Anolis sagrei: one gene and its partner. The protein of the gene in region 2 purifies or fractionates together with the protein of the main gene of each other region. This does not show direct contact. Links are inferred from orthologs where the notes say so. Each region holds a gene or a part of one and is shown on either strand. Other genes may lie near its edges.

Region 1 (10,737 bases), on a different chromosome or scaffold from region 2:
CAGTTTGTTTCTGGCCACAAAGCAACACGCCAAGTATAGCCTATAAAGAGCTATATGTAAGCCGCCCCGAGTCCTCATTGGGGAGATGGTGGCGGGGTATAAATAAATAAATAAATAATATTATTATACAACCTGGTTTTGGATTCTCTACGTATTCTACCACAATAACTTGTTTGGGCTTTAGGATTTTCAGGGGACGGCCTTTTCTTAATCCCACTTATGAGAGGCACATTTGGTTGATTGTGAAAGAGAAGGCCTTCTCAATAGCAACTACTCAGCTCTTCACCAGCCTTGCTTGGTTTAGTTCTTTTCCTGGCAGGCAGATCTTGTTTACTGAAGCAAAACTAGTCAAGTGAGCAGAGGTGAGTTGGTCATTGTTTAAAAGAGTTCAGTAAAGAGAGCATGTCCAATTCATTCCATCCCACCTCTTCAATTTTCCACTCTCCTCCCAACAATTGCCCATTAAAACAAAGTATGCATTCCTCATATTTTGCCACTGTCATAATAGCAAATTTAGTAGTAATAGTAGTAGTAGTAATAGCAGCAGCATCCCTACAAAAGAGTCCTTGGGGAAATGATGTGTGATTGAAGGTTTTCTTCGGCTGTACTAAAGGGCAGCAGTCTGAATTGCAAGGAAGTCTGAATTGCATCCGGTTAAAAGCAGTTTGGAACCCACCAATCTGGATGTACAAGTAAGACAACTCTTCATTTAGTACACACCTAATTAGTTTGTACAAGAAAATTCTTACCATCATCTCCTTCCTCTTCCACCTGGTCTGCCCAACTGGGCTTGGAGCTGAAATAAAGGTAAAACATCAATGAGCCTTCTGCTCTCAGTAGTCATAAACATGTGCATGCTGTCCAACAATAATCAAATTCCAGGAAACTAAATTCTCCATGCAACATGTTTTTGCCTATTAAACTTCATCCTGTCCATTACAACTCATTTAACACAGGTTTGCTTCTTCAGTTCTATCAGAGAAGAAGAAAAGAACATACATCTGGATGTACAAGTTAGACAACTCTTCATTTAGTACACACCTAATTAGTTTGTACAAGAAACTACTATCTCCAGCATCTAATTTATTCCAGCTATTTTTCCATTCAAATATTAATAAAAAACCTTTGGGCAGCAACCACTGTTCTTTATCTTGTCATGTCCACTTCCAAAGGAAGACGCCCACTTGCCAGCTGGTCAACACACAGGTTGGTTTGAATGCAATATTCCTGCTTCTTGGCAAGGGGTTGGACTGGATGGCCCATGAGGTCTCTTCCAACTCTTTGAGGGTTCTAGCCACCTACCTCATGTTTCAGGTAAAAATGCAGGTATTTTGCCATTGAAGATTTACATTACCATCCAGATTTATACACCACATACCTTACTTAATTTTTTTGTTTTTCTTATTTATTGTTTCCAAAGCTCACTCACTCACCCCTCTTTGAAAAAACAAACAAACCTTGTAGACTCACTCATTCAGTCCTAGACTGCTAATTGTTGGAATTAATCTTGAATTCCAATCACTTCATTAACTGCTCCAGATCTTCTTTTACCTTTCCTGTTCAGATCCTCAATAACTTTATCTTGTTCTCACTGAAGCACTAAAACTGGATTTCTAAAGGCATTTCCAAAGAGGACACTTCCGCTCATATAACTGAATAGACCCACAGAAAAGTAACAGAAAACAGACTAAGTTTGAAGCTTTGTGGTTGGGAGCCTAACCTGCATGTTTTAAAGAGACATTTTATCAAGATGGAGTGCATAACGCTGAAACATTGGCCACTGTCCAGCAAGAACACAGCCATGTTCTTCCTGCTGTCACGTGTCCTTCCAATTCAACCAACTACTTTCTCAGCCACATCTAACACAGCCTCTGTATTACCTGTCTAGCATATGCGTGATTACAGCAGTGGTTCTCAACCTTTGGTCTTCCGGATGTTTTGGACTTTAATTCTCACAATTCCTAAAAGCTGGTAAGTTGCTGGGAGTTCTGGGAGTTGAAGTCTAAAATGCCTGGAGGCTAAAAGTTGGGAACCACTGGCTTACAAGGAAAAGTCCCTTGAGAGCTAGATGTGTTTATGACTGGGGGATATATTCTCAACATTTTCAGGTAACACTCCTGTTACTATTCCATTAAAGCACTGGTTCTTAACCTGTGGGTGACGGACCACCAGTAGGCTGCAAGGACGAAAATCTGGTCCACAAATCTCATTTTTTATTTATTTTACTTCTACTCCTTTCAGACTGCCTGCCACTCCTTTCCTGTTGCTGACCATGGCATGTGTTCTGTATCAGAAAGCAGAGCTGATGTGGTCTACCCAATGCAATTTTCTGAATCAGCACCACAAACCAAATCTAAAGTTGACCAAAAACTGATTCCTAACCCTTTTGGTAATAATGCTGGAGAGTGGTCCCTGGTCAAAAAAAAGTTGGGAACCACTGCATTAAACAGATGTGGTCCAATAATACCAGATGCGGAAATTGCTCCCCATACATTAATGAAATCATGTATTTCCATGTTACCCAGACCTTTTCAACACATGTTCAGTGTCTCTCACTTTCAAAGTGACTCCATGTCTAATGGAGATTCAGTAAAGATGCAGTCTACATAATTAATACCCATCTCCAAGTTTTAGTATCTAACTATATAATGTTAGAACAAGTGAGCAAATATAGACCTCCAGGTAAGTTGCACAAAGATATCTTTGGCCTCAAAGGCCCATCAGACCTACCCAGCAAAGCCACTAATGATGGATAATGGGAATAGCTGACCAAAAACATTTGGAGAGCCATAGTTGCACATCCAATATTAAGTAAGGGAGACAATCAGTGTGGTGCAGTGGTTTCAGTGCTAGACTTGAAGTGCAACTACACTGTAGAGCAGTGATCCTCAACCTGTGGGTCCCCAGGTGTTTTGGCCTACAATTCTCAGAAATTTAGGATTTCTGGGTGTTGAAGGCTAAAACATCTGGGGACCTCAAGTTGAGAACCACTGCGAGATAGAAATAAAGGTTATTATTATGATTTTACAATTATTATTACTAGATTTTAGTATATTGTATGAGCCCCCAGTGGCGCAGTGGGTTAAACCCCTGTGCCGGCAGGACTGAAGACCGACAGGTCGCAGGTTCGAATCCGGGGAGAGGCGGATGAGCTCCCTCTATCAGCTCCAGCTCCTCATGCGGGGACATGAGAGAAGCCTCCCACAAGGATAAAAACATCAAATCATACAGGCGTCCCCTGGGCAACGTCCTTGCAGACGGCCAATTCTCTCACACCAGAAGCGACTTGCAGTTTCTCAAGTCGCTCCTGATACAACAAAAAAATTATATTGTATTATTATTAATAATATTATTATTATACTGTATTACATGAATACGTGAAGACACATCATACTAGGTAGCAGGGTAAACTCATCAAGAAATATTAATTAAATCATTTCGTTTTAAAGTTGGATTTTAAGTAAAAGATGCTTGCTTGCTTGCATGCTGGTCGCTTCTGTGGCGAGAGAATCAGCCGTCTACGAAGACGTTGCCCAGGGGACGCCCGGATATCTTGCAATCCTGCGAGGAGGCTTCTCTCATGTCCCACAACCAGATACAGTGAAGACATCTGCCCTTATGCTATGCTACTCTGCTGCTGAGTATGCATGCCCAGTGTGGAACACATCTCACCATACTAAAACAGTGGATGTGGCTCTTAATGAGACATGCCGGATTATCTCAGGGTGTCTGCGCTCTACACCACTGGAGAAATTACACTGCTTAGCCGGTATTGCACCACCTGACATCTGCCGGGAAGTAGCAGCCAATAGTGAAAGGACCAAGGCAGAGACATCTCCAGCTCATCCCCTGTTTGGGTATCAGCCAGCACGCCAATGACTTAAATCTAGGCATAGTTTTCTAAGATCTACAGAGACACTCGCTGGAACACCTCAGCAAGCGAGAGTCCAAAAGTGGCAGGCTCAAACCCAGCACCTCAACCAATGGCTGATACCAAATGAGAGACTCCCTCCTGGGCACACAGAAGACTGGGTGACTTGGAAGGCGCTGAACAGACTGCGCTCTGGCACCACGAGATGCAGAGCCAACCTCAAGAAATGGGGCTACAAAGTGGAATCCACGACATGCGAGTGTGGAGAAGAGCAAACCACTGACTACTTGCTGCAATGCAACCTGAGCCCTGCCACATGCACAATGGAGGACCTACTTGCGGCAACACCAGAAGCACTCCAAGTGGCCAGATACTGGTCAAAGGACATTTAACCAACTACGAAACTCACAAGTTGTGTATTTTTCTGTTTATTTGCTTTGTTCGGTTAGAAATGTAACATAATGGACTGGTTGCTCTGACACGACAAAAAAAGTAAAAGATACACAAAGCTATGCCAAGCTTCCCAGAGCAGGCAGCCTCAAACTGGGGCCTTCCAACGCCCAGAAGCCCTTGCCAGCTTCTTCAATGGCCAGGAATTTTAGGAGTTGGAGGTGCAAACAGCTGGAAGGCCGCTGTTTGAGGAGGCCAGGCCTTAGGTTTCTGTCACGTGTCTGCCCAACTCTTGACACTCAGCTGGAGAAGTCCAGAGCTGACCAAATTGAGCTTTTGGTCTATAACCAGCTTTAAGAGTTTGAAAGACATGAAGTTGACTTTGTTTGGGAAAAAATGGCTCATGAGAAGCGGTTGAGGAAAGAATTCGGGACTCTCCGAATCACAAACCCGCCACTGCACGTCTGGACGCGCAAACACGTGTACACGGACCGCCCGCCCGCCGCTTTCCCCTTTCCCCCAAGGCCTCCCTCCCTCCTCCAGGCCTGCTTCCCGCCTTCCCCATTTGCTCACTCGTAGTCGCCCGTCGGCATGGCCGCCCCTGGAAGAAGAGCAAGCAGCAGGAAGGCGAGCTGAAGAGGAAGACTAGGCCTCACGAGAGGCAGGAAGCCGGCCTAAGCGTGACGCAGAGCCTCACGGGAGACGTAGTTTGCGTCACTGACGTGGTGGCCAAACCAAAATGCATGGCGGAGGCCTTTCGGCTCGCCGCGGTGCCTGCTGGGAAGACGCGATAGGGGTCGCTCCACTCCAACTTTTGGGCCTCCAATTCCCAGAAGCCCTCGCCAGCTTGTTCAATGCCCAGGAATGCTGGAAGTTGGAGGCCCAAAAGCTGCAAGGCCGCCTGTATTAGTGAGGTGAATTGCCGCCCCCAGTGGACACTTCAAGAATTGCATCCCTTGATAGAATTCTAGAGTTGGAAGAGACTTCATGGGCCATCCAGTCCAACCCCCTGCCAAGAAGCGGGAATGTTGCATTCAAAGCACCCCTCACAGATGGCCACCCAGCTTCTGTTTAAAAGCCTTCAAAAGGAGCCTCCACCACACTCCGGGGCAGAGAGTTCCACTGCTGAACGGCTCACAGTCAGGAATTATAAGAGTTGGAAGACTTCATGGGCCATCCAGTCCAACCCCCTGCCAAGAAGCGGGAATGTTGCATTCAAAGCACCCCTCACAGATGGCCACCCAGCCTCTGTTTAAAAGCCTCCAAAGAAGGAGCCTCCACCACACTCCGGGGCAGAGAGTTCCACTGCTGAATGGCTCTCACAATCAGGAAGTTCTTCTTCATGTTCAGATGGAATCTCCTTTCTTGTAGTTTGAAACCATTGTTCCGCGTCCTACTGTCAAACCCAGCTGGGGGCCCTTCCACACAGCCCTATATTCCAGAATATCAAGGCAGAAAATCCCACAATATCTGCTTTGAACTGTGTTATCTGAGTCCACGCTCAGAATCTAGTTGCTTTTTTGCATGTCCACCAAAGGTGAGAGAAGGATCCCACTTGTGAGTGCATTTCCAGCATTTGTCTGATGGATTCTTTTAACATTTCGCAAGTTTACTTGGTGTTATGTACCAACGGCACATCATCGTGTACCAATTTTCACGTAGGTCCTGAGAGTCTGTATATTTTATTTTAGAGTTCCATATGTTTTCCCTGAGGAATCTGTACAAGGACCAAGTAGCAACAGTCAGAACTGACCACGGAACAACAGACTGGTTCAAGATTGGGAAAGGCGTACGGCAAGGCTGCATCCTCTCACCCAACCTTTTTAACTTGTATGCAGAACACATCATGCGATGTGCGGGGCTGGATGAATGCAAAGCCGGGGTGAAAATTGCTGGAAGAAACATTAACAACCTCAGATATGCAGATGACACCACTCTGATGGCCGAAAGCGAGGAGGAGCTGAGGAGCCTTCTAATCAAGGTGAAAGAAGAAAGCGCAAAAGCCGGGTTGCAGCTAAACGTCAAAAAAACCAAGATTATGGCAACAAGAATGATTGACAACTGGAAAATAGAGGGAGAAACCGTGGAGGCTGTGACAGACTTTGTATTTCTAGGTGCAAAGATTACTGCAGATGCAGACTGTGGCCAGGAAATCAGAAGACGCTTCCTTCTTGGGAGGAGAGCAATGTCCAGTCTCGATAAAATAGTAAAGAGTAGAGAAATCAGACTGGCAACAAAGATCCGCCTAGTCAAAGCCATGGTATTCCCTGTAGTCACCTACGGATGTGAGAGCTGGACCTTAGGGAAGGCTGAGCGAAGGAAGATCGATGCTTTTGAGCTGTGGTGTTGGAGGAAAGTTCTGAGAGTGCCTTGGACTGCGAGAAGATCCAACCAGTCCATCCTCCAGGAAATAAAGCCTGACTGCTCACTGGAGGGAAAGATACTAGAGACAAAGTTGAAGTACTTTGGCCACATCATGAGGAGACAGGAAAGCCTAGAGAAGACAATTATGCTGGGGAAAGTGGAAGGCAAAAGGAAGAGGGGCCGACCAAGGGCAAGATGGATGGATGGCATCCTTGAAGTGACTGGACTGACCTTGAGGGAGCTGGGGGTGGTAACGGCCGACAGGGAGCTCTGGCGTGGGCTGGTCCATGAGGTCACGAAGAGTCGGAGACGACTGAACGAATGAACAACAACATGTTTTCCCATTCTGTTATTTGGATGTTGTGGCCGATGTTTTGTGCCCACCTCACCATGCACTCTTTTATTTGTTCTCTCTCGGTCGACCAAGTTAAGAGTATTTTGCGGATTTTGGAGATTAGTTTATTGTTCGAAGACAAAACCTTGTCCCATATTTTTTCCCCTTCTTCGAATCCACCTTTCTTGTCTTTGTTATTATTATTTGTCGTGTCAGGAGCGACTTGAGAAACTGCAAGTCGCTTCTGGTGTGAGAGAATTGGCCGTCTGCAAGGACATTGCCCAGAGGGACACCTGGATGATTTTTTGATTTTATCATCCTTGTGGGAGGCTTCTCTCATGGAGCTGATAGAGGGAGCTCATCTGCCTCTCCCCAGATTTGAACCTGCGACCAATCGGTCTTCAGTTCTGCCAGCACAGGGGTTTAAACCACTGCGCCACTGGGGGTTCCCGGTGTTTGTTAAATGCCTCCTTTAATTGAATATGAGATTTGTTACTGAACCCTGTGTCTCTTAAGAGGCCTGTGCAGCCTTCTCCTAGTGTAGCTCCTGCTCCCTCCCTCACTCCGTTCCCTTTCCCTCTCGCCTTCCTTGCCAGACCAATGCAAAAGGGGCTTGCTTGCTTCTTCGCTTCTTCTGTCCCTCCGTCCGTCCATCCCTCTCCCCCCCCCCCCGAGAAGGCTCTAAAGCAGTGCTTCTCAACCTGGGGGTCGGGACCCCTGAGGGGTCGCCAAAGACCATAAGAAAACACAGTATTATCTGATGGTCATGGGGATTCCATGTGGGAAGTTTGAGCCAATTCTATCGTTGGTGGAGTTCAGAATATTCCTTGATTGTAATGAACTATAAATTCCAGCAACTACAACTCCCAAATGTCAAGATCTATTTTCCCCAGACTCCACCAGTGTTCACATTTGGGCATATTGAGTAATCATGCGAAGTTTGGACCAGATCCATCATGGCATGAGTCCACAGTGTCTCTGGATATAGGTGAACTACAACTCCCAAACTCAAGGTCAATGCCCATCAAACCCTTCCAGTGTTTTCTGTTGGTCATGGGAGTCAAGTTTGGTTCAAATCCATCGCTGGTGGAGTTTAGAATGCTCTTTGATTATAAGTAAACTATAAATCCCAGCAACTACAACTCCCAAATTATAAAATCAATCCTCCCCCAACCCCACTAGCATTCACATTTGGGTGCATTGGGTATTTGTGCCCAGTGAATGAAAATGCACCCTGCATATCAGATACTTACATTATGATATATAACATTAGTAAAATGACTGTTATGAAGTAGCAACGAAAACAATATTATGGTTGGGGGTCACCACAACATGAGGGACTGTCTTAAGGGGTCACGGCATTAGGAAGGTTGAGAACCACTGCTCTAAAGGCTGCTTTTCAGAGCAGCTTTGCCAGGTTGTTCTGGCTTCTCAGCTTGGCTCCTGAAGCAGGGACAGCCAGCTGCTTTGCTACTGTGGCTGTTTGTTTCCCCTTCTTGTACAGGAGGGGGCAGGCCTAGGTTTTGCACATGCGTGGTAAGGTATTTTTTATTTTTAAAAGAATTTTAAAGCTATTTTCACTGTTTGGGGATTTTTTTTAATTGTGGTCATACCTTGCGGTATGAGACGTTTGGAGGCCAAAATTGATGTCAGTTGGCCCCATAGTTTGTCTGTGTTTAGCCTACTCAGGACGCACAGAAGCTTTTTTATATATTAAGATTATCATGATTCTTTATGGGTGGCAGATGGCAATTGATAGATGGCCTATGTTCTGTATCTGAAAAACTAGAGCTGATAGGGGAAAACTGGTATCATTTTTGGAATCAGCAGGTCAAATATACCCAGAAACAGAGCTAACATTTGAGGCACCAAAATGTGTGTTGGTCAGTGGAATTGAAGTGGTACTTAGGTCCCAGCACCAACATGAACACAAACCAGAGCCCAGAGATGGGACAGACATCTGAAGGAAGTCAGAAAGGGACCTTGAGATAATTTATAGGAGAGATTTATTTGAAGAAATATTACAACATATAAAAACTACATAAAGTATTAATTTCCACTTGTACAAAGTGGTTGATTAAATTTCAATACAATGTATCATAAAAACATCCTGAACCCCCCCTCCCCCCGACACACATACACACGCACACGCATGAAGTGGCAGGCACTGCACAATTTGATCACTTGGGAATGGTTATCTGGAACATCAAAACAGCGTCAGAATGTCAGCCGAGGAGACAAACACCGCTCACAAATACAGACTCTGAGAAAGAGCAAGACAGAGAGAGAGAACACACAAAAATCCTCCCCCTCCCGTCCCCAAAAACAAAGAGAGACCTCCAACAATTTTCAGCATGTCCAGAAGTATAAGAAAATAACCTGGAAATTAAAAAAGCAGAAGAAAATTCAAAATTATCAGTGCATGTTTGGGTGTTCAGGTGCGGTAACCAAGGTGCAGCAGATGACGAGCAATTTACAAATTAATCGGAAGTGTCCATTTTTTCCCGTTTGATGGTATCTGCGGAAAAATAAGATACAGCAGAAATATAAATCCCTGAGCGTATTATTCAGGCAGGCTTTTAAAGAAGGATTTTTTTAAACATCAAGTCAGGGGGTGCTATTAATAGGTTTCAATTGATTTTGAGGGGTTTAATTGTTTATTTTTAATACTGTTCATGTTCAATTCCATTTCAATGTTTGTATATTTGTAGGTTTAAATTATATTGTATTGGTTTTTATTGTGAGCTGCTTTGAGTCTTCTTTTTTGAGAAAAAACAGGATACAAATCATCACCACCACCATTTCTCCAGCTCACATCCCTGTTCCAAAGGGATGGGGAGGAGAAGTCCAACAAGCACATAGACATCTCTACAAAAAACAGTATTTTTCCATTTGGAGTTGTTGGACAGGCAGGCCTTTCTCCCAACATGCTTCCTCCACAGGTGGGGCACCCACTATTGCCTAGAGCAGTGGTTCTCAACCTGTGGGTCCCCAGATGTTTTGGCCTTCAACTCCCAGAAATCCTAACAGTTGGCAAACCGGCTGGGATTTCTGGGAGTTGTAGACCAAGACACCAGGGGACCCATAGGTTGAGAACCACTGATCCAGAGCTCCATGTCTCTTTGCAACTGGGGTGGTAGATCTCCAAATGGCAATTTCACTGCAACGAATTTTACTGCATCAGCCTTAAACAAGTTAAGAAAGGTGCGAGGGATCATGGGAGCTTTAGTTCAATAGCACAGAATCATAGAATCAAAGAGTTGGAAGAGACCTCATGGGCCATCCAGTCCAACCCCCTGCCAAGAAGCAGGAATATTGCATTCAAATCACCCCTGACATGACCATCCAGCCTCTGTTTAAAAGCTTCCAAAGAAGGAGCCTCCACCACACTCCAGGGCAGAGAGTTCCACTGCTGAACGGCTCTCACAGTCAGGAAGTTCTTCCTCATGTTCAGATGGAATTTCCTTTCCTGTAGTTTGAAGCCATTGTTCTGTGTTCTAGTCTCCAGGGAAGCAAAAAACAAGCTTGCTCCCTCCTCCCTGTGACTTCCTCTCACATATTTATACATGGCTATCATATCTCCTCTCAGCTTTCTCATTTTCAGGCTAAACATGCTCAGCTCCTTAATCCGCTCCTCATAGGGCTTGTTCTCCAGATCCTTGATCATTTTAATCGCCCTCCTCTGGACACATTCCAGCTTGTCAATATCTCTCTTGAATTGTGGTGCCCAGAATTGGACACAATATTCCAGGTGTGGTCTAACCAAAGCAGAATAGAA
Region 2 (10,599 bases):
TTCTCCAAGATTAAATGCACCAATGCACCAATGCAAATGCATGTAATCTAAAATTTGTAATAATCTGAAATCCAAAGCATTTCCGGCCCAAACATTTCGGATGAGAGATATTCAACCTGCATCTGAACATAAACAAAGGCTTTTTTCACACTTGAGTTAATGTGTGCTGTGAGGAAAGAACCGTGACTCGAACCATTCTGAATCCAGGGCTGCTGAGAGTGGGTTTGGGTGCCTATAGAAACATATTTTTTGCCAGTGCAAGCTCAAAAGATGCAGTTTGGAAAAGCGTTATGGTAAGATTCAAGTCAGAAACATGGCAGAGAAAGCAATTAATTTAGACAAAAGTTATTTGGGGAAGCTTTTTTGGTTTGAAGGATCATGGAAAAATTCAAAACAAATACAAATTTTGCTTCCCACCATCAAATGAAAGAGAAACGAACCCAGTTGGAATTGTGAATACTCCTACAGTGTCTTTGTATGTCTCATCCACTTTTTTCCAGGCCATTTGCATTACATGTAAGTAGGTGAACTTCCAGCCAACCTAGAACAAAAAGCCATCCAATTGCATTTGCTGGAATAGGTGAGTATGCCTTTCAAAACCGCCCTTGGGAGAATAAGTTGTGTATGTTATGGTAATTTAGGACCCAAGACAATAGTGTTGTCAAAATAGACATGATGACAGATTTTGAATAAAGGGTGACAGAATTATAGCAGTATGACAGCACTTTAACTGCCACAGCTCATTTGTCATAGAATTGTTGGATTTGTAAGTTTGTTGTTGCAACAGATCTCTTTGGCTGAGAAGAGTAATGGTCTCACAAAACTAAAAATTCCAAGAGTTTACATCTTTGAGCTCTTGTTAACCCAATAGGCAGGCTACAATGGCTTCAAACTACAAGAAAGGAGATTCCATCTGAACATGAGGAAGAACTTCCTGACTGTGAGAGCTGTTCAGCAGTGGAACTCTCTGCCCCAGAGTGTGGTGGAGGCTCCTTCTTTGGAAGCTTTTAAACAGAGGCTGGATGGCCATCTGTCAGGAGTGATTTGAATGCAATATTCCTGCTTCTTGGCAGAATGGGGTTGGACTGGATGGCCCATGAGGTCTCTTCCAACTCTTTGATTCTACTCTTTACTAAAGAACAAGAATTCATAATAATATATCTAGTACTGCAAATGGAAAATTTAAAAGCAAGGGAGAGTACTCTTCATTTCCCAAGACTGTTATGTCAGCACCCTGATTAAGGTGACCATGCATTCAACGAAACAACCCCCAAAACCCTCAGGCAAAACAGCTAAACAGGAATGCATTAAAAAAACAACTCTCTTTCCTGAGGTCTGAACATAAACAAAGACTTTTTTTCACACTTGAGTTAATCAACTCATCCATTCAAGAAAGTCTGTGTTGGATGATTAATGTTTCCTGTTAAGGTAATGACCCTTGGACTTTCTATCTGATTTTTCCTGTGACAGTCTTGCACTCATTCTAGCCCATCCCTATCTCTATATGCATCTGATAAAGCCGATTGCCATAACAATTGGGGAGGAAGGCAAAGGGACAAAGACTGATGGAGAGGGAGAAAAGAAGAGAAAATGGATAGAGAATGTTATCAGAGGTGTTCATGGCTGGAATCACTTGGTCGCTATGCGTTTTCTGGGCTGTAAGGCCATGTTCCAAAAGCTTTCTCTTCTGATGTTTTGTCCACATCTATGGCAGGCATCTTCCAAGGCTGTGATGTCTGTTGGAAACTAGGCAAGTGAGGTTTATATATCTGAGGAATGTCCAGAATGGGAGAAAAAACTTGTCTAGTATGAATGTTGCAATTGGCCACCTTGATTAGCATTTTATGGCCTTGCAGCTTCAAACCCTGGCTGCTTACTGCCTGGGGGAATCATTTGTCGGGAGATGTTAGTTGGCCCTGATTATTTCTTCTCTGGAATTCCCATTTTTTTTAGTGTTGTTCTTTATTTACTGTCCTGATTTTAGAGTTTTATAAATACTGGTAGCGAGATTTTGTTCATTTTCATGGTTTCCTTTCTGTTGAAATTGCCCACATGCTTGTGGATGTCAATGGCTTCTCTGTATAGCCTGACATGGTGGTTGTTAGAGTGGTCCAGCATTTCTGTGTTCTCAAATAATATGGGGTGTCCAGGCTGGTTCATCAGTTGCTCTGCTATGGCTGACTTCTCTGGTTGAATAAGTTGCAGTGCCTTTCATGTTCCTTGATTCATGTTTTATTATTAACTTTATTTATACCCCGCTAACATCTCCCAAAGGACTCGGTGCGGCTTACAAAAGGCCAAGGCCCTCAATAAAACAACAGCATAACAAATACAACAATAAAACTCATACAGCAAAACAATAAACATTAAAGCAATAACAATAAACATTAGAACAATAACACCAATAACATTGTTTGGGCAATGCTGCTGCATTTGGTGGTCCCTATGTAGACTTGTCCACAGCTGCATGGAATACGGTAGACTCCTGCAGAGGTGAGAGGATCCCTCTTGTCCTTTGCTGAACGTAGCATTTGTTGGATTTTCTTAGTGGGCCTGTAGATAGGAAGCCATGAGAGTAAAGACAAAAATCCACCCAGAGGAAACGTGTTCTTACCAGACAACAAGGGAACCACTGACCGCATAGGGAAGCTGATGAAGAAACACAACCTTCAAACTATCTACAGACCCACTAAGAAAATAATATGCTGTGTCCAGGTTGGTTCATCAAGTGCTCTGCTATGGCTGACTTTCTCTTATAAAGTGTTTGAAAGTGAATAAATTGGTTATGAGGAATCGGGAGGAAATACAGAAAAACTTTGTCAATGACTGGGAACCTTTTTTGAACAGTGTGGGAGGTGGGATGGAAAAGTTCTTAGAGCAAGCTTCCATGACTGAAAAAGCTTGGGAGCAACTGCTCTATATAACTGTTCAAGCGTGCCCAGTAAGGGATTCTGGAAGCGAATTCTGTTTGTACTGCCTATTGTGGGCATACACACACAGCAAGAAACCCTTTAAAATGTTTATTTCCATGGAACCCAACTATATCTTTAATTGTTTTAAAGCAAAATATCAGTTAACATTAACAGCCTTAAATATGCAGATGATATCACTTTGATGGTCGAAAGCGAGGAGGAGCTGAAGAGCCTTCTAATCAAGGTGAAAGAAGAAAGTGCAAAAGCTGGGTTGCACTTAAACATAAAAAATAACAAGATTATGGCAACCAGACGGATTGATAACTGGCAAACAGAGGGAGAAAACAATAAAAAGCAGCAAGTATAAGATATTTTGAGTCAATTTGGCCTTTCTTTCTCCTTTTCCTCCTCAACCGCATGTCACTCCAGGTACCTCTGGGTGGGTTTTCTCGAATTCACCTTTCTCTTTCCATCCTTATTTGTATAAATTTTATTATAGTTTAATTTTTCCTAATCTAATCTCTGTAACTATTTATTTATCACTTAAATATTTGTAGTCATTTTTTTCTCTCCCTCATTTTTTTACTAATTTTTATTTTTTGGCTGTATAATGTATCTATTACACACACACACACACACACACAATTTTCTTGCAGTGTAATTTTTTACCTAAACTTTAACATTTTTAATGTAAAAATATAAATAAACATTTTCTTGCAGTGTAATTTATTTAAACTAACAATTTTATGTATTTATTGCAGTGAATTTTTAACTACTTTAAATTTTAATGTAAATAATTATTTTTCTTGAAATGTATTTTTATCTAAACTACAATTCTTAATTTTCTTGCAGTGTAATCATTTATCTAATCTTTAAAATTCTTCTCTCTCTCTATATATATATATATTTCAGTGTAATTTATATAAACTTTAAAATTCTAAATGTATATATATAATTTTCTTGCAACTTTAAAATGTGGTCTCGCAATGTATTTATCTACATTTTAAGCTGTGTAATTTTTATCTAATATTTAAATTTCATAATGTATATATTTTATTTCCTGAAATTCACTTTTTTCTTATTTGATCTCTGACATAAATATTCTTGCAAAGTAGTTTTTGCCCTAATCTTTGAAATTTATTTGATTTCCTTGCAATGTATTTTTTAAATCTAAACTACTATTTAATCTTCAAACTACTATTTAATCTTTAAATATTCTCATATATTATTGCAGTGCAATTTTATCTAATCTTTAAAATTCTTAATGTATATATAATTTTCTTGCAGTGTAAATTTGGTATAAATTTTAAAATTCTTATTCTCACAATGTATTTATCTAAATTTTAAACTGTGTAATTTTTTCTATTCTTTAAAATTCTTTATATATATAATTTTCTTTCAGTGTAATAGTTTATCTAATATTTAAAATTCATAATGTATTTATTTTATTTCCTGCAATGCACTTTATCTGATCTCTGAAATTCTTTCTCTCTCTATATATGTAAAGTAGTTTTTGACCTAATCTCTGAAATTCTTAATATGCAAAGTAGTTTTCGATCTACTCTATAAAATTCTTAATATATATATTCTTGTAGTTTTTGACCTAATCTCTGAAATCTCTGAAATTCTTTATATATATATATATATATATATATATATTCTTGCAAAATAGTTTTTGACCTACTCTCTGAAATTCTTAATATATATATTCTTGCAAAGTAGTTTTTGACCTAATCTGATTTATATATATATATATATAGATAGATTTGTAGTTTTTGACCTAATATTTGAAATTCTTAATATATATATTCTTGCAAAGTAGTTTTTGACCTATTTTCTGAAATTCTCAATATGCAAAGTAGTTTTCGATCTACTCTATAAAATTCTTAATATATATATTCTTGTAGTTTTTGACCTAATCTCTGAAATTCTTTATATATATATATATATATATATATGTTCTTGCAAAATAGTTTTTGACCTACTCTCTGAAATTCTTAATATATATATTCTTGCAAAGTAGTTTTTGACCTAATCTGATTTATATATATATATATATATATATAGATTTGTAGTTTTTGACCTAATATTTGAAATTCTTAATATATATATTCTTGCAAAGTAGTTTTTGACCTATTTTCTGAAATTCTCTCTCTCTATATATATATTCAAAATAGTTTTTGACCTAATCTCTGAAATTCTTTATATACATATTCTTGCAAATTAGTTTGTGACCTAATCTCCGAAATTCTAAATATATATATATTCTTGCAAAGTAGTTTTTGACCTAATATCCGAAATCCTAAATATATATATTCTTGCAAAATAGTTTTTGACCTAATCTCTGAAATTCTTTATATATATATATATATTCTTTCAAGGTAGTTTTGGACCTAATCTCAGAATTTTTTATATATATCTATATATATATAAATTTGGAAAGTAGTTTTTGACTTCATCTGAAATTCTTTATATATATACCTATATTCTTACAAAGTAGGTTTTGACCTAGTCTCTGAAATTCTTAATATATATATTATTGCAAAATAGTTTTTGACTTAATATCTGAAATTCTTTATATATATATATATTCTTGCAATGTAGTTTTTGACCTAATCTTTTAAATTCTTAAGATATATATATATTGCAAAGTAGTTTATGACCTAACCTCTGAAATTCTTAAAACGTATGTAATTATCTTTGATGGCCATGTCCTTTCCCTTGCCTAGACCTTTGTAATTCTAGATGTTTATACCAATTCAAAAAAGAGAGATATAGCTATTGAACTGAAAACAAAGACTCCAAAAGGGAGCAGCCTTTCTTCTCCTTCCTCCTCAAACACGTGTCACTCCGGCCATGATGGAAAGTAAGGCAAACAGGAACCGGAAGTCCCTCCAGGATCACGTGACGGGAGGAGGTGGGCGGGGCTTGTGGGGGAGACTTTGGCATACATCCGGGGATTGGCGAGGGAGGGGGGTCACGTGACGGGCCGGGCCGACCTTTTTCTCCCTGCGAGGCCAAAGCATGGCGAGGGTCACGTGACGAAGGGCGGCTCCTCTTTTTCTCCCCCCCCTCCCCTCCTCCCAATCCTGGGATGCCACTTCCTGTTTCTGCAGGCCGGCTTCAGCGCCAGGCCCCGCCCCTTCCTTTTCCCCTTTCCCTCCCTTTCGGAGCGAGCGGCTCCGGAAATGGTGGCTACGTCGGGCCCCGCTCCGTCGGGCTGAAGGAGGAGACGCCAGGTAAGCCGGGGGCCCTCTCCTCGACCCAACCCGGCCGGAGGGGGAGGAGGGAGAAGGAGCCGGCGGGCAGGCCGCGCTAGGCCTCGCCTCACCACCACCGCCACGTGCAGGAGAGAGGCAGGCCCGACTAGGCCTCGCGCCCTCCTCGCCCGCCTCTTCCTCCCCCAAACCGGGTGGGGCGCGGCCTTCCTCACCACATCCAACCACCCAGCGCCCCAATAGTTCCTGAGCATATGCAGAAGGCGCTGGGGTTCCCCTTCATCCATCACTACAGCTCCCCACTGGTTCCTGAGCATAGGCAGAAAGCACCTGGATGTCTCAGACCTCATCCAGTTCATGCCACGTTAGTATCTGAGCCCATGATGGTCTCGCCCCAATAGTTCCTGAGCATATACAGAAGGGTTTTGAGTTCCTAGTCCTCAATCAATCCGGTGACCCATTAATTTCTGATGTGCAAATTGTGTTGGGATTCATAGTCACCTATCAGTCCTAGTTTCTGAAGGTAGGCAAAAGGCACTTTAGGTTCTTGTGGGTTTTTTTGGGCTATACAGCCATGTTCTAGAGGCATTCTCTCCTGACGTTTCGCCTGCATCTATGGCAAGCATCCTCAGAGGTAGTGAGGTCTGTTGGAATTAGGACAGTGGGTTTATATACAGACCTCACTACCTCTGAGGATGCTTGCCATAGATGCAGGCGAAACGTCAGGAGAAATGCCTCTAGAACATGGCTCTATAGCCCAAAAAAACCCACAAGAACCTAGTGATTCCAGCCATGAAAGTCTTCGACAATAAAAAGGCACTTTGTTTCATAGTCCCGGTAGTTTCTGAACATTCACAGAATGCATTTGGGGTCACAGTTAATTATCCACTCAGCTCCCCACTGGTTCCTGTGCATAGGATTGGTTATACACGGACGATGAATTTTGGATTACGATTCCAGTTATGAGATGCATAGGATTGTTATTGGTGGCCCAATAATTTGTACTGTATATGTGTTTTATGCTTTTAACTGAATATTGTTTTTTAAATGTTGTAAACCGCAATGAGTCGCCGATTTAGGCTGAGATATTAGCGGTATACAAGTGCATTAATAAATAAATAAATAATAAATATAGAGAAAGCACTATGGTTTCGCATGCTTTATCTAGTTTGTGCCACATTACTATTTGAGCCCCTGATGAAGGCTTTGGGGTTCACCTCGCCCCAATAGTTCCTGAGCATATACAGAAGGCTTTTGAGTTCCCAATCATCTATCAATCCGGCGTCCCATTAATTTCTGAGCATGTGCAAATTGCATTGGGATTCACAGTCACTTATCAGTCCTGATTTCTGAAGGTAGGCAAAAGGCACTTCGTTTCATAGCCCTGGTAGTTTCTGAACATTCACAGAAGGCATTTGGGGTCACAGTTAATTTTCCATCCAGGGCTTCACTAGTTTCTGAGCATATGCAGAAAGCTTTCGAGTTCATAATAATTATTCATCCAGTGTTTCATTAATTTCTGAGCATACACAAATGGCATTTGGATTCATTTATCAGCCCAGCACCCCACTATGCTAGTTTCTGAGCATATGCAGAAGGCACTCACTTCTAGACATGAAAACAGTATTTCAAACCATAGCCATTCATTCTCTCCCCCCTCCCCCTGTAATTTCTGAGCATATGCAGAAGGTACTGGGATTTGTTGCCACCCATCAGTCCAAGTTACATTGGTTTCTGAGCATATGCAGAAGGCACTATGGTTTCTCATGCTTTATACAGTTCGTGCCACATTACTATTTGAGCCCCTGATGAAGGCCTTGGGGTTCACCTTGCCCCACTAGTTCCTGAGCATATACAGAAGGCTTTTGAGTTCTTAATCATGTATCAATCTGGTGTCCCATTAATTTATGAGCATGTGCAAATAGCATTGGGATCCATAGTCACATATCAGTCCTACTTTCTGAAGGTAGGCAAAAGGCACCTCGTTTCATAGCCCTAGTAGTTTCTGAACATACACAGAAGGCATTTGAGGTCACAGTTAATTATCCATCCAGGGCATCACTAGTTTCTGAGCATATGTAGAAGGCTTTTGAGTCCATAATCTGGTGTCCTGTTGATTCCTGAGAATGTGCAGATCGTATGTGGATTCATTGCCACTTGTCAGTCCTTCATACTTATTATTAAATCAGGTCCTTGTCCTTTGTTCCCCTTCAATCCGCTGCCCTACTCGTTTATGAAGGTAGGCCAAAGGCACTTTGATTAATAGCCACCCATATAGCTCCCCAGCATTGGATTCATAGCCCCGGTTGTCTCTGAACAAACACAGGAGGCATTTGGGATCACAATTAATTACCCCGCCTGGCCTCACTAGTTTCTGAGCATATGCAGAAGGCATTTGAGGTCATAGATACATATCAGTATATCTCCCCACTAGTTTCTGAGCATATGCAAAAGGCTTTTGGGTTCATGGTAAGCAATTAACCCAGTGCTCCATTAGTTTCTGAGTGTGTGGTAATAGCATTTGGATTCATAGTCACCTATCAGTACAGCTCAACTTTTTAATATGTAAATTCCAGGAAGATCAAGTTTTGTAACCCTTCTCCAATACTTTTTTCATATAAATAATCCTGTTGTTCATTCTCCTGTACATTTTATTGTAGATTATAGACCCACAGAACAAAATTCACCCCCAATTAACTAGTATAGTCCTCAAAATCCACAGATTCAGCTATCCAGAGCTTGAAAGTATTACATAAAGATCCAAAATACAAATGTTGGTTTTGCTATTTTATATGAGGCGCACCAGTTCACCAGGCCATTGTGCATAATGGGACTTGAGCACACATAGATTTTGGTATCCATAGGTGGGTGAGGGGTCCTAAAACAGATTTTTTTTTTGTATACCAAGGACATACTGCATTCATAAGGGCTGAGGCTCATATACAAACTTAATAATTGGAGTAATGATACATCTCTCCAATACACAGCACACTTTTTTCTGTTTTTCCTTATCTTGTTTATCCTATCTTAGGACTGAACTTTGCAAGCGAATATGCCCTTGTCATGGGGTTGCTTCTGAGTCTTATGTATTGTTTTCTTCTGGAAAATATCAGGAAGATTATGGAAACCTTTTCTGGCTTATGTAGGAAAGATCATTAACTTTAAAATGTATCCACTTTTTCCACAACGTGCACACTTTTACATACATATGTTTCCTCTTAACTTTACTTTCCCCCTCCATAGTCGGTTGCACTTTTTTCCAGCATCCTTTTAAGGCACAGTGAGCAAAACTGTACATAATACTTCAGTGTGGCCACACCATCTATTTGCATAAGAGCAATATTTTGAAATGCAAACATAGAGTTTTCTTTCAGATAGTACTTTTTTAAAGCAATCTCCAATTTGTTACTGTAGGTCCCCTCCCCTCAGTGTACATAAATGTACATAAATGCATACTTGTTTACATGGATCCAAATAAGCTTATTTTCCAGTCTGGGGGATTCTTTGGCAACCTTCTTCAATTTATTTTTCCACAATCCATTCCTCAATCTGGAAGATTCTTTGAGACTTCTGCAATCTATTTTTCTTCTAGCCATTTTAACTAGTTTGTTGTTGGCAGCAAAGTTAGCCACCTTATTGATTGGCCTTAGAAACAACCGATCATTTGTGAACAAGTTAGGAAGGACTGGACCAATACAAGTCTTTTAAGGGGATCACTGTTTGCACCCTTTCACTTTGAGAACTGAACATTTGTTCCTTGTGTTCTCTGTACTGTCTGCTTTTTAATGAGTCACCAATCTATAAGAGTCCAGTTACTGAATCCCTTAAGTGTTTAACTGTTGAAGAGGCCTGGCCATTTAAACTTAATCCCTCTTTCAATAATATCAATTGAGTCAAAATTCCAAATACACATTTTTAGCAGTCAAGTCCTGTGAATAACCTCTTCTCACTGCTTCCCATGGAGCAATGGTTGCGGTACATTTCTCATCTTGTTCAGCCATCCAGAGCTTGAAAGTATTACATAAAGATCCAAAATACAAATGTTGGTTTTGCTATTTTATATGAGGTGCACCATTTCACTAGGCCAATACAATACACAACGTGATCAAAGGCCCTTCTGTGTAACCTTCTCTTCTATAACTAGGGGACCTTCCACTCATCCCTATATCTCAGAATATCAAGGCAGACAATCCCACATTATTTGATTTGAACTGGAATATATGGCAGTGTGGACTCAGATAACCCAGTTCAAAGCAGAGATTGTGTGATATTCTGGGATATGGGGCTATGTGGTAGGGCCCTTTGTCTCTTCTTAACACAAGGCTCAAAAGTCCCCAACTTGTGTAAAAATGAATCAAGGTTTTGCACTCTTCAAGTCCTACAAAAATGATGAACAAATCCACACATTTATTTATTTATCATGTCAGGGGCAGACCAAACAGTTGCATTGCATTTTTTAACAAACAAAA

Evidence for each region. Proteins that work in one complex are often made in the same cells at the same time.
Region 1: the proteins of EIF4G1 (region 2) and EIF3G purify together in Homo sapiens (affinity purification with mass spectrometry; 3 studies listed by BioGRID, with this or other methods). This does not show direct contact. The link is inferred for Anolis sagrei from reciprocal best matches to the Homo sapiens genes EIF4G1 and EIF3G.

What each region holds. Positions count from the first base shown.
Region 1 is NC_090022.1:172,117,129-172,127,865, reverse strand, and holds the start of EIF3G (eukaryotic translation initiation factor 3 subunit G), read right to left. Parts: upstream 4,998-10,737; 5' UTR 4,855-4,997; coding exon 4,835-4,854; intron 797-4,834; coding exon 750-796; intron 1-749. Other genes in the region: DNMT1 (DNA (cytosine-5)-methyltransferase 1), read right to left, coding at 9,440-9,477. UniProt on the Homo sapiens protein: RNA-binding component of the eukaryotic translation initiation factor 3 (eIF-3) complex, which is required for several steps in the initiation of protein synthesis.
Region 2 is NC_090023.1:262,548,109-262,558,707, reverse strand, and holds the start of EIF4G1 (eukaryotic translation initiation factor 4 gamma 1), read left to right. Parts: upstream 1-6,040; 5' UTR 6,041-6,151; intron 6,152-10,599.